Linked DNA regions of Drosophila melanogaster. The protein of the gene in region 1 interacts with the protein of each later gene in a pairwise test. Each region holds a gene or a part of one and is shown in the gene's direction. Other genes may lie near its edges.

Evidence for each region.
Region 2: the proteins of gsb-n (region 1) and en interact in a two-hybrid assay, tested with the Drosophila melanogaster proteins (one study listed by BioGRID).

Annotation. Positions count from the first base shown.
Region 1 is NT_033778.4:25,049,312-25,054,192, reverse strand, and holds the start of gsb-n (gooseberry-neuro), read left to right. Parts: upstream 1-1,861; 5' UTR 1,862-2,184; coding exon 2,185-2,242; intron 2,243-2,569; coding exon 2,570-2,883; intron 2,884-4,881.
Region 2 is NT_033778.4:11,523,264-11,529,816, reverse strand, and holds en (engrailed), read left to right. Parts: upstream 1-1,606; 5' UTR 1,607-2,146; coding exon 2,147-3,458; intron 3,459-4,591; coding exon 4,592-4,689; intron 4,690-4,969; coding exon 4,970-5,218; 3' UTR 5,219-5,811; downstream 5,812-6,553. UniProt on the Drosophila melanogaster protein: This protein specifies the body segmentation pattern. It is required for the development of the central nervous system. Transcriptional regulator that represses activated promoters. Wg signaling operates by inactivating the SGG repression of EN autoactivation.

The DNA of each region.
Region 1 (4,881 bases):
GCATCCTTATATAAATTAGTCGACATATTGAATTTGATTTTCCAGTTCTTGACTTTGGAAAGTGACGTACGAAAAACGAAACTCTATACATTGAAGAACCCAAATGGCAGCGTTTGGCTCGTATCAAAAGTTTAAATTCTGTCGTTGCCACGCATGAGGAACTCCGATAATTGAAAACTGTCAATACGCATATTAGATAATTTGTTATGTTTATCATGAGCCTGTTCTTGTGGTTTCGCTTAGAAAACAGGCGGAGACACAATTAAAATATGCCTTGTCCTAGGACGTCCTGTTTGGCTCATTTGCATGGCAAGTTCTATTGCCGATGTTGATGAGGCGTACCGGTGCACTCAAGTGGCTGTCCATACGGGCTCCTTGCACAACGCTTCATTAACATCGATTTTTATGCTCATTATCGCAGGGACTCCAGGTCGGCTTAGCAGATAAATCCTTCTTTGGAGAGTCCTTGCATATTTCTTCAGCCTGCCAGCTCATTCTGCTCAATTCGGTTTCGGAACGCAGCACTAGTAATATTATTGTATATCAGAAATTTGCATGCGGCCGGCTTTTACAAACATACTCCAATACGAACCAAACACAGGACGACGAGCGGCCATTTTTAGGCTGCGTCCCTTCCCTGTCCCTGTCTCGCCCTGATGCCAGATGCAGGCGGCATGTGCGTATCCTTAATATGCGTAAACTTCACGCTTAATTCTCTACATTATGATGACGTCCTTTCGCTGTTTTCGCTTTTGTTCGTTGGTTTTTCAATTTCTCAAAACTGCAGACCGTTCAAACTGTACCAGGTGTGAATTTCTTTGCTGTTAATAGCTGTTGATTGATTTTTGTGTTTGTATATTGGTAATTGACTTTCGTTGCTCGGAGAACAATGTGCTGGATGTGTTTACTAGTCAGGCTTTTGCTTGTACACAGTATCTAAGCTTTGTTATCCTTCAATCATGAATGCATGATAACCAATGAATGATATTAAAGCTAATCCGCAAAGGGTCATCATTAAATTACATTCCATTCCATTCAATTAATCAAATGCAGAATGTTATGAAAGCCCTGAAAAAAATGAGAGGATAAGGCAGAAAGCTAAAGGAAACTGAGACCCCATAAACATTTCTGTCAAAGAACTAACCTAACTAGCCAGAAGCTAAAGGAGGGTGCAGACTGCAAAATGGGATAAACATATATTGGAAGCACACGACATGGAACTGTGGGTGCTGAAAGTAACAAAACCGGAACGATTGGTACTGGGATGTGGTGCTGGACTTGAGTTTGCGATTGGGCTTGGTCGTGGTCCTCGGCATGTGTCCTGTGCTCCCTGCAGCCTTCACGGTTTAATTGGCTGCCAGCGATGAAATAAAAGTCATACAATTCCCACAATGCTCGGGGACAGCTGCATTCACAGAGTGATCAAGCGAGTGTCGTCAGGGGGGTTGATGTGCGGATGGATTATGGATGCGATGCAGTATCAAAAGTCGGGCGAGCTGAGCCCAGATCCGCCCTGAACCAGCTCAGCCAATCACGTCTTTCGAGGCGTGGCAATTCCTCGATTAAAGCGCGGTCAGCTCACTACCGGCTCTCTCTTTCTCTGCTCGGCTGTGAGGCTTTGATCGGTGCCATATTGTGCCTGGTCGTGGCGCTCCAGTAGGCAGCAACCACCGAAAGGGCGGGCGCGAAAGCTGCTCTCACTCTCCCTCCTGCCAGCATCTCCATCTGCGTCTCCATCTGGCGGTGGTTGTTCGGCGCGAAAACCAGTTTGTGGAGCGATCTCATTGTTTGCCCGTCTGCGGAGTAGTCGTAGTCATCGCCCGGACCGGCCGGCCCTCGTTAATTTATGCTCGCGCTTCTCTTTAGTTGCTTTGCACGTCTCGTGCAGTTTGATCGCTGAAGCGCGCGTGATTCCAAGAAAAATCCCGCTTCTCACCACCGGACTGAGAGTTGCAAAGTACCGTCGGAATCGGGAGCCGCCCGTCGTAGTGATGAAGTGGGTCCTTTGGGCCAGCTTTAAGTGATTTCCCACAAGGAACGACAGCCTACTGATCATAGCTCATTTCAAATATAATTGTGCAATGGTATCGACTCGGATGCACTAACCTACCGAAAATAAAGAAAGTTTTTTGAGTGCAGCGTCGCTTAGATTCTCGATTGCTATAAGCTCTTTGCATTCGGACCATGGATATGTCCAGCGCGAACTCGTTGCGGCCCCTTTTCGCAGGGTATCCCTTTCAAGGTAAGTAATTTCAACATATATCATATCATTTATACTGTGTATTTCAAAAAACTTACCCCTTGAAATCATGCGAGACCTAGACTTGTTTACATTTGAACCCTATTTCCCTCCGACGCCTGAAGAGAATACATTCCCATGAACTCCTTACACGTAAGATAGTACGGTACATATGTATACACTATAATTAAGGAACAGAATCCATAATGTCTTTTAAGCTACACATTAGGTTAAGTTCAGAAGGAAGTGAACGATTCCTACTGACTAATGAATAATAATAAATGATTTGACTTATCAGTGCTTATGCCAATTGATCTAACTTGCCCACAGGACAAGGCCGGGTAAATCAGCTTGGGGGCGTCTTTATCAATGGACGTCCGTTGCCCAATCACATTCGACTGAAGATCGTGGAAATGGCGGCCAGTGGAGTGCGGCCTTGTGTAATATCGCGCCAGCTCCGCGTGTCTCACGGCTGCGTATCGAAGATTCTGAACCGATACCAGGAGACGGGTTCTATTAGACCGGGCGTAATAGGTGGATCTAAGCCCAAGGTGACCTCTCCCGAAATTGAAACGCGGATCGATGAGCTGCGAAAGGAAAACCCCAGCATATTCAGCTGGGAAATACGCGAAAAGCTGATAAAGGTGAGTACCGAGATGCACCTGCAAGGTTGCAGGAAGCAATAAAATGTACCAAAACAAACGATGCGAGGATTTGCAGGACCTGCCGGTAGCCTTAACCGCATGCCAATATGTCCAGATAGAAGAGGGTCAAAATACGCACCGAATGCGAATCAGTTTACTTCCGTTTTCCGAAAAGTCACGTGGCAGTTTCGTACCGCCCGCTGGCTTTGTTATGGCACGTTGCCTATGACACCTACTGGCCTTTTGCATATGTCGGCTGACTAGCTGCACAGATGGCCCAAACTGACCAAGGACCCAGTTTGAACTTGCCCGCTCATTGACAATATTGTTGAACAACAGCGACGACAAATTTTCGCTTGCCACCCAAACCGTTAAGAAATCAATTAAACCATAAAGACACCGCTTCTGTCGTGTTCCTTGTCGGCATCGTTTGTGTTTTGTCCTTGAGGCGAAAAGGTGCTATACGAGAATATATTTATATGATTCTTCGCCGTCGGGACTTCGCTTCCGGTTTTGAGGCGTGAAAGAATCGGTCCTACATCAAAACATTAAAATGGCTCGCATATAAGTTCGTTTCGTTTATTAGATTAACAAAATTTATAATTAACGACATATTCCTTGTCATCTATTCTCTGTTTTAATGTGCCGTCTTACAAACCTAGCCACCTTTGCCAATACTGCGATATTATTTTGCTTCAGATTTGCGTTAAGCTTAAAAGATGAGCACACTTCCCCACACCTTATGTGGCAAAAGCGAAGTCCAACGGGGAAATTGTGTTTCAGCTCATTACTGAACCTACGCCAATATGACTCATTCACAGAGACCAAAAGTCTGGCAAAAGATTTCGGCATACTGCCCACTAGCCGGACCAGCTCCACCGATTCACGCCTGCATGGATGGATGACGGCCGTCTTGAAGTTGATTTTCCCTTTCGGCAAAACTTCTCGACGGTGGAGGGAGTGTAGGGTTTAGGATTAATACAAGCACTAGTGTATTCATGCGCCAGCCTCTTTTGGCGGCATCGTCCCGCTCTTTATTTGAAACCGCAATTAGCCACACTTTATGGGGCGTTAGGATTCGGGCGATCGATACGATCGGACTATAGATCAGAGTCGGCATCACTTCATTCCAAATCCAAAAGATGCGCACTGTGTAATATGCACAGAAAGAAATTTAGGATGGTTTAATTCGCAAAAGTAGTTTTTTAATAAACTAAGTTTTTAGCTTACTATCTTCTTATTTTTTTATGGGAAGAGTGCTGGACTAGTGCTTTATTAATATAAAAAATTAAAAACTGCATTTAAAATTTTATGAATGACAAAAATATGCAATCACATTGCTGTTTTTGTATGACCTCACAATAACAAAAACCGTTAGATCGGGATTTTGATTGTTTTCGGTGTTATAGGCCTTATATTGTGTGCGCTCGCTTTTGCGTGGCAGTAGGCGTAAAAACTGCCTCCAGGTGAGCTTCACGCTTAATTAGAATATGCTTTAGGCATCTCTTGTGTCTTGATTTCATACCTGACCGCGATTACCCCTCCCTATGCCTACCTGATATGACTCGCTTAGTGGCGGCTTATCGACGATCGGGATTTCAGATTTTAAATGTTGTACTTTGGACTTGGTTATGTACAGGCGCTCTTAACTTCGGCTTCCTTTTTAATTCCACAGGGGCTCGTTCCTTGATGAAAATTTCAGTCACCAAATATAATCAAATGTCCCGCTGACAAAGTTCCAGATTCCAAGAAATTTAATTATTAAAAAAACAGAGCGCATCAGTCAGTCAAACTAAAAAACTAGAAAGAGCCCAAACATAATATAGTCAAAAACGCAACACGAATCGGTCATGTATAAAGCGCAGTCAAGTGTCAATCCAACTGTCATCTAATTAATTAAATTTCAATTGAAATTGTAAGCCACAACACGGGCGGATGCAAAAAATGTGTCTCACAGTCGGGGGCTCGACCGAGATCGAGATCGGGATTGGGATTGGG
Region 2 (6,553 bases), about 14 Mb from region 1:
AGTGTGTAGGGGAATGGAACGGTGTGGAAGGGTGGAAGTTGAGCGGAAAATCAACAGCTGCCGACGGCAACAGCGGAATGTGTAAGAGGAAGATGGTCAAAGGGGGTGTGCGAGAGAGAGGCAGCAGCCATTGTTGTCATGCGTGAGAGAGCAGGGCAGAGTGAGCGAGAAGCGCACAGTGCGAGAGCGAGTGAGACAACTATCTATTCGAAGTTCGAAATTCAAAAGGGGAAATAGATTTGGCTCCGTTCCAGTTTCCAGTTTTTCCAACTTCGACTTTTAATGGCTGACCGCAGACTGGAAGGTGCGTTCGAACCGGTTAAGATCGAATCGAAACGGTTAAGACCACTCAACGGAATTTCAATTTATGCATCTGAGCTGTTCAAATATATTTATTAATTTATATTCGATTCAAGTCCATTTGATACTTATAAAAATGCGCATAAAAATTGAATAAATTTCGGCCCATTGATTGTGGAACAGGTTAACCACGAAATTTGCTCTAAATATGGATTATGGCTTATTGTTTGGGCGTTAGTTTGTTGGCGCGAATTGCTTATGTCACAATTGGCAACAGGAAATGTGGGAGTGTGAGTGGTGGCGAGATTACTCTCTAATTAAATCCTTTGCCCCATAAATCAGTAGCCCACATGGCAACGATCGCTTTTATTATGCAAAAATTAACACAACAAAATCTGCTAGCTATAAGGCAATTCATTAGCGATTTCGTTATTTGATTTCGGTTTTATTCACATCGAACAGATTCGTTGATTTATGAGCTATATATCAGTGGTTATATGTTCGGAATCCCACATCTATACACTATTTGCAGCACATGTTTCACATTTGTAGATCGTCGGTTGATTAGAGCCCCACAAAAAAGCGTTATTGTTAATGTCCAATGCCAAATGGCGTTCGTTTTTAACACCTTCTAAGGTTTATTTTGACAGTTAGCGATGGTTTTTCATTCGCTCGTCTGGCAAATCGATATTCGATGGGCAAATAAATAAATTAAATGTCAATTAAATATCAATCAATTTCGTCAGCTGTTTTTCAAGGCACATTTAACTGGTTAATTGAAGGCCTCAAAAATAAATTGTCATCGTGTATTTAGCGTATTTTTGTGAAAAATCGCAAATGATACTGGTGGTGGGAGTGGGGGTGATAAAAAGTTTCCCTTCATTTAAATTAAAACAATTAGCTTTGCGGTTTTTTTCCTCTCTTTCGATTCCCCCTCTACACATGGCCTAAAGGTGGTGTCGATAAAGTTGTAGGCTGTAGAAAACGCAGATTGAAACGTCGCGGCCGAAAACAAAATCAACAAAAACTAAATGCTTATGAAAAGTGTCTGTGGAAAGAGATGGCATGTGGCTCTCCCCCTCATGGAAAGGCAGCCATTTTCCTGGCCTACTCGCAGAGGGAGTGAACAGTGCCGCTATATGACCCCCACTCGGTAACGCCCCGTGAGAGAGGGAGAGCTTGCGCCTGCGCAGTTCGCTGGGGACACAGTTGTCAACCGGCTGACAGCTCCAGCATGCGCATAATAAAGTCATATTGCTGCCTAACAAGCCCCCCTCGCCAAATTGGCAAGAGAGAGTGAGAGCGAGAGGGAGCGAGCGAGAGAGCGCTCTGGCCAGCTAATAGGAGTGAGTGAGCCGGCGAAACCGGTTCGCATGGGGCAGGTGACAAGGCTAAGAGAGAGCGAAAATCGATCAGTGTAAGGCCGAAAAGACACATCTTCTACTCTCATCTCTTCATGTCACTGTCACCAACTGCTGTCACTCACTCACTCGCTCGCTCGCACACACTTCGCCAGCTACTTGTGGGATCTCGCCCTCTCGCTCCCGCACTCGGACCTCTCTTTCCACCGTGACAGTTCAATCGGCTCTCGCGTTAACTCTCCCCGACGTCGGCGCTGCGATTCCGAAGTAGTCAACTAATTCAGTCGTTGCGCTCGATGTGAACAGACGTGCGTGTCGGAACAACAGTTGCAAATCAAACACGAAAGCATAAGCCAAACAAAAAACACCAAACAGAGAAGAGAATCAGAAGATTCTGAGCAATCAGAAGAATCAGTGGCTCAGTGTCAAGTGACCCAGTGACAAGTGTCTTAAGCGAGTTGCGATTTAGCACCAAGTCGAAACCAATGGCCCTGGAGGATCGCTGCAGTCCACAGTCAGCGCCCAGCCCCATTACCCTACAAATGCAGCATCTTCACCACCAGCAACAGCAGCAGCAGCAACAGCAGCAGCAAATGCAGCACCTCCACCAGCTGCAGCAACTGCAGCAGTTGCACCAACAGCAACTGGCCGCCGGTGTCTTCCACCATCCGGCAATGGCCTTCGATGCCGCTGCAGCCGCCGCTGCTGCAGCTGCTGCTGCGGCCGCCCACGCTCATGCTGCTGCACTGCAGCAGCGCCTCAGTGGCAGTGGATCGCCCGCATCCTGCTCCACGCCCGCCTCGTCCACGCCGCTGACCATCAAGGAGGAGGAAAGCGACTCCGTGATCGGTGACATGAGTTTCCACAATCAGACGCACACCACCAACGAGGAGGAGGAGGCGGAGGAGGATGACGACATTGATGTGGATGTGGATGATACGTCGGCGGGCGGACGCCTGCCACCACCCGCCCACCAGCAGCAGTCGACGGCCAAGCCCTCGCTGGCCTTTTCCATCTCCAACATCCTGAGCGATCGTTTCGGAGATGTCCAGAAGCCGGGCAAGTCGATGGAGAACCAGGCCAGCATATTCCGCCCCTTCGAGGCGAGTCGTTCCCAGACTGCCACGCCCTCCGCCTTTACAAGAGTGGATCTGCTGGAGTTTAGCCGGCAACAGCAGGCTGCCGCCGCAGCCGCTACTGCGGCCATGATGCTGGAACGGGCCAACTTCCTTAACTGCTTCAATCCGGCTGCCTATCCCAGGATACACGAGGAAATCGTGCAGAGTCGGCTGCGCAGGAGTGCAGCCAATGCCGTCATCCCGCCGCCCATGAGCTCCAAGATGAGCGATGCCAATCCAGAGAAATCTGCTCTGGGATCCCTGTGCAAGGCGGTCTCGCAGATCGGACAACCTGCTGCCCCTACGATGACCCAACCTCCGCTGAGTAGCAGTGCCAGCAGCTTGGCCAGTCCGCCACCCGCCTCCAATGCCTCGACCATTAGCAGCACCTCTTCCGTGGCCACCAGCTCGAGCTCCTCCTCGTCGGGTTGCTCCTCGGCGGCCAGTTCCTTGAACTCCTCGCCCAGTAGCCGACTGGGAGCCAGTGGATCCGGAGTCAATGCCAGCAGTCCCCAGCCGCAGCCAATCCCGCCGCCATCCGCCGTTAGCCGAGATTCCGGAATGGAGTCCTCGGATGACACGCGTTCCGAGACGGGATCCACCACCACAGAGGGCGGCAAGAACGAGATGTGGCCCGCCTGGGTGTACTGCACCCGCTACAGCGATCGTCCCAGCTCAGGTTAGTATCTATGCGATTACCTAGCGTTTAAGTGGGTCAGAAAGAGGGTTCGTCGGGCACCATCTTCAGTGTTGTCAAAACAAGGAAGTCCCAAAGGTTCGTTAAAAAAAAAAAGATGTGAAAATGGTAAATGGTATATGGTTACATGGGGACCACCCTTGGGGAGCGTTATGTTGGCGGCAGCCTTTCAAGCAGCTCTGTTTTGTGTCATAAATCCGAAGGACACTGCCACAATTAGGCGACACGCGGACAATGGCAATGAGCCCGAATCTGACTCCCATTTCTATAACCATGCCCATTCCCATTCCCATTTCGTATCCGAATCCGAATCCGATTTTGGGCCTCACGCAGTGCTGCGCTGCTTTTGAAGAGCGACACTTTATGTGACAACATGTAGCGCAGAGCCAGCGCTTGTCTATCGGAACTGTTAGATCCTCAGGTCGAAGGTCACCGCTCACGCACACACGCCACGCAGAAGCCGAGACCCTAAAACGCGCTGACGATTGACAGGGGAAAAGTAGGTGCGGGGGAGATATGATGGCGGGGGAAGCCCCTTCGAAAGGAGAAGAGTTTTCCATTGACAAGCGGAGATTTTCCTTGCAGCTCTTCTTAGATCGTGTGTTAATTGACGAGTTAAGTGCTTTTTTATGGTCGGCAATGGTTTTTTAATTTGGTGTCGATGCAATCGATGGCAGCCCATAAGCGAGGCGTTGATGGCCCCACTCCGCGGCTAGGAATTAATCAAACGATCTCCACTTACTGGCGGTCAATTAAATTATAATTTACAATGTGTGGAAATCTAATAAGCACTACGGATTGCTGCGGTGCCGCGTTGCCAATTAGCCGGTGACTTGGACTTAGTCGCTAATTAGAGAGTTGGCTAGCTGGCAAATCATTTGCCTAAAATATGCCGTAGACCTTTGGGTTCGTTAACTCGCCGGAGTTCTACTCTTCTCTTGCGCTGACAGCTGACAAATTGAACACTTCCCCGCCAGCACGCGAAAGGGAGCTCCAGCTCCGGCCGAGGAATTCCGCCCAGACATATGCTAATTGAATCATTAATATTATTAATAGTATGTGGCGCATTTATGCAAATAGAACTAACGTATTTCTCGTGTTTTTGTTTATTCCAGGACCCCGCTACCGCCGCCCCAAACAGCCAAAGGACAAGACCAACGACGAGAAGCGTCCACGCACCGCGTTCTCCAGCGAGCAGTTGGCCCGCCTTAAGGTGAGATTCAGTTCTTTTTTCCATATATGGTTATATGGTTATACCAATATCCATCCATATCCATATCCAATTGCCCTACGCTTGTTGTGTCATATTTGCACCAAAATATTGACACCGCCCGCTGCTAATGCATCCTGGCAATGTGGTGTCCCGTCCGTACTTAACCAATCAGCCACGCTCGGCCGAAACCGCAAATAATTGATTTTCCCTACCTGACTATACAACATGGATATCCTTGCCATCCGAAACTCATCCAGCATTCCATTTCTTCCACTTACAGCGGGAGTTCAACGAGAATCGCTATCTGACCGAGCGGAGACGCCAGCAGCTGAGCAGCGAGTTGGGCCTGAACGAGGCGCAGATCAAGATCTGGTTCCAGAACAAGCGGGCCAAGATCAAGAAGTCGACGGGCTCCAAAAATCCGCTGGCACTGCAGCTGATGGCCCAGGGATTGTACAACCACACCACCGTGCCGCTGACCAAGGAGGAGGAGGAGCTCGAGATGCGCATGAACGGGCAGATCCCCTAAGCGCTGACCAATGGTTACCCATAAGGGGTTACTCCTTCTGACGGGGGCGTGCAATATTCGAGGGCGTACAAATGGTTTTCATGTGATATAATTGTAGCGTACATATGTTTTTGTATATATCTCTAAAAATATATATATATATACGTATAATCCTAACCTAGAGTAAGACCCATCCGTAGCGAATTCGAGCTGTAAGTTGTTGGCGTATTTATTTAACCACCCCTGGATAGCCGAAAGTATTATCGTAATCACCCGACACAAAGCCTATCGCTATCGCCGCACTTCAAAAGCTTCGACCTTCAGACGTTTATTCCTACACAAAACACTATCTATAGTTATTACTCCCTATAAATTACGCGCTTGCAACCGCTCTGTAAATTAAGTAACTTAACAGTTCCCTAGCTTAATTCCTAGTTTACACACTTAAGGATTGCTATGAAAGAGTATTTTAGTTTCTAAGCGAAATGTTAACGAGCAACTAATAGCTGGCAAATGCACCTAAGAAAATAACAACGAAATGTTTGTGCTAAAGCAAGTTCATGAAAAGAAAATTAAAAACAAAATAAAAGAATTATGGAAAAAAATTAAAATGCAATTGGTTTCCTCTGGGAATTGGAAGTCTGCTACATTAAAGGAAAATATGCCACCCATATATCGGAGGACATGCGGTCTAATCGGTGGCCTTATTTGTACTTTGTGTAGGGCGCCATTATCTTCTCTACGCTTTTTCATCTGTCACATCAAAGGCTATAGAACATTAAATCACGAACACTTGTCGTCGGGCGAGGGTGCCGCTAATTGCACAATCACATTCCGAACCAAAATCGGAGGCCGTCGACGAGTAACGGCAGCTCTTGCTCTTCGATTCCATTCCGTTTAATTAAAGCCAAATCCGCGCGTAGTATAAACAAATATCTGTGACGAGACAGAAGCCCAACAAACAGAAAGAAAAAAAAAAATGCAAAACTAAAGCGGCAGGGAGCAGTCATCAAATGATTTATTGGCACAGATCTCGCGGCGAGCGGCGTTAATTTGCTGAAAATAAATGCAAACGCGAAATGCAATGCAAAATTGTGGGAGGGGGCGGGATGAGCAGCTGACATTTACTGGCAAGCGTTGATGTGCACATACAATACACACACACACATGCACGGCTGTATGAAGCGCATATGAATTGATGCCAAACGCTAATTGCACAGCTAGCTTGAGGCTCAAATCCATTCGCATGTCTCGAGGGGTCTCGCTTTTTCAGTTATTCAGTTACTCAGCCTTTTAGCCTTTCAGCCAAGGCGGATTCAAATCGGCCGAATTATAGAGGCGCAAATCCATTTGTGC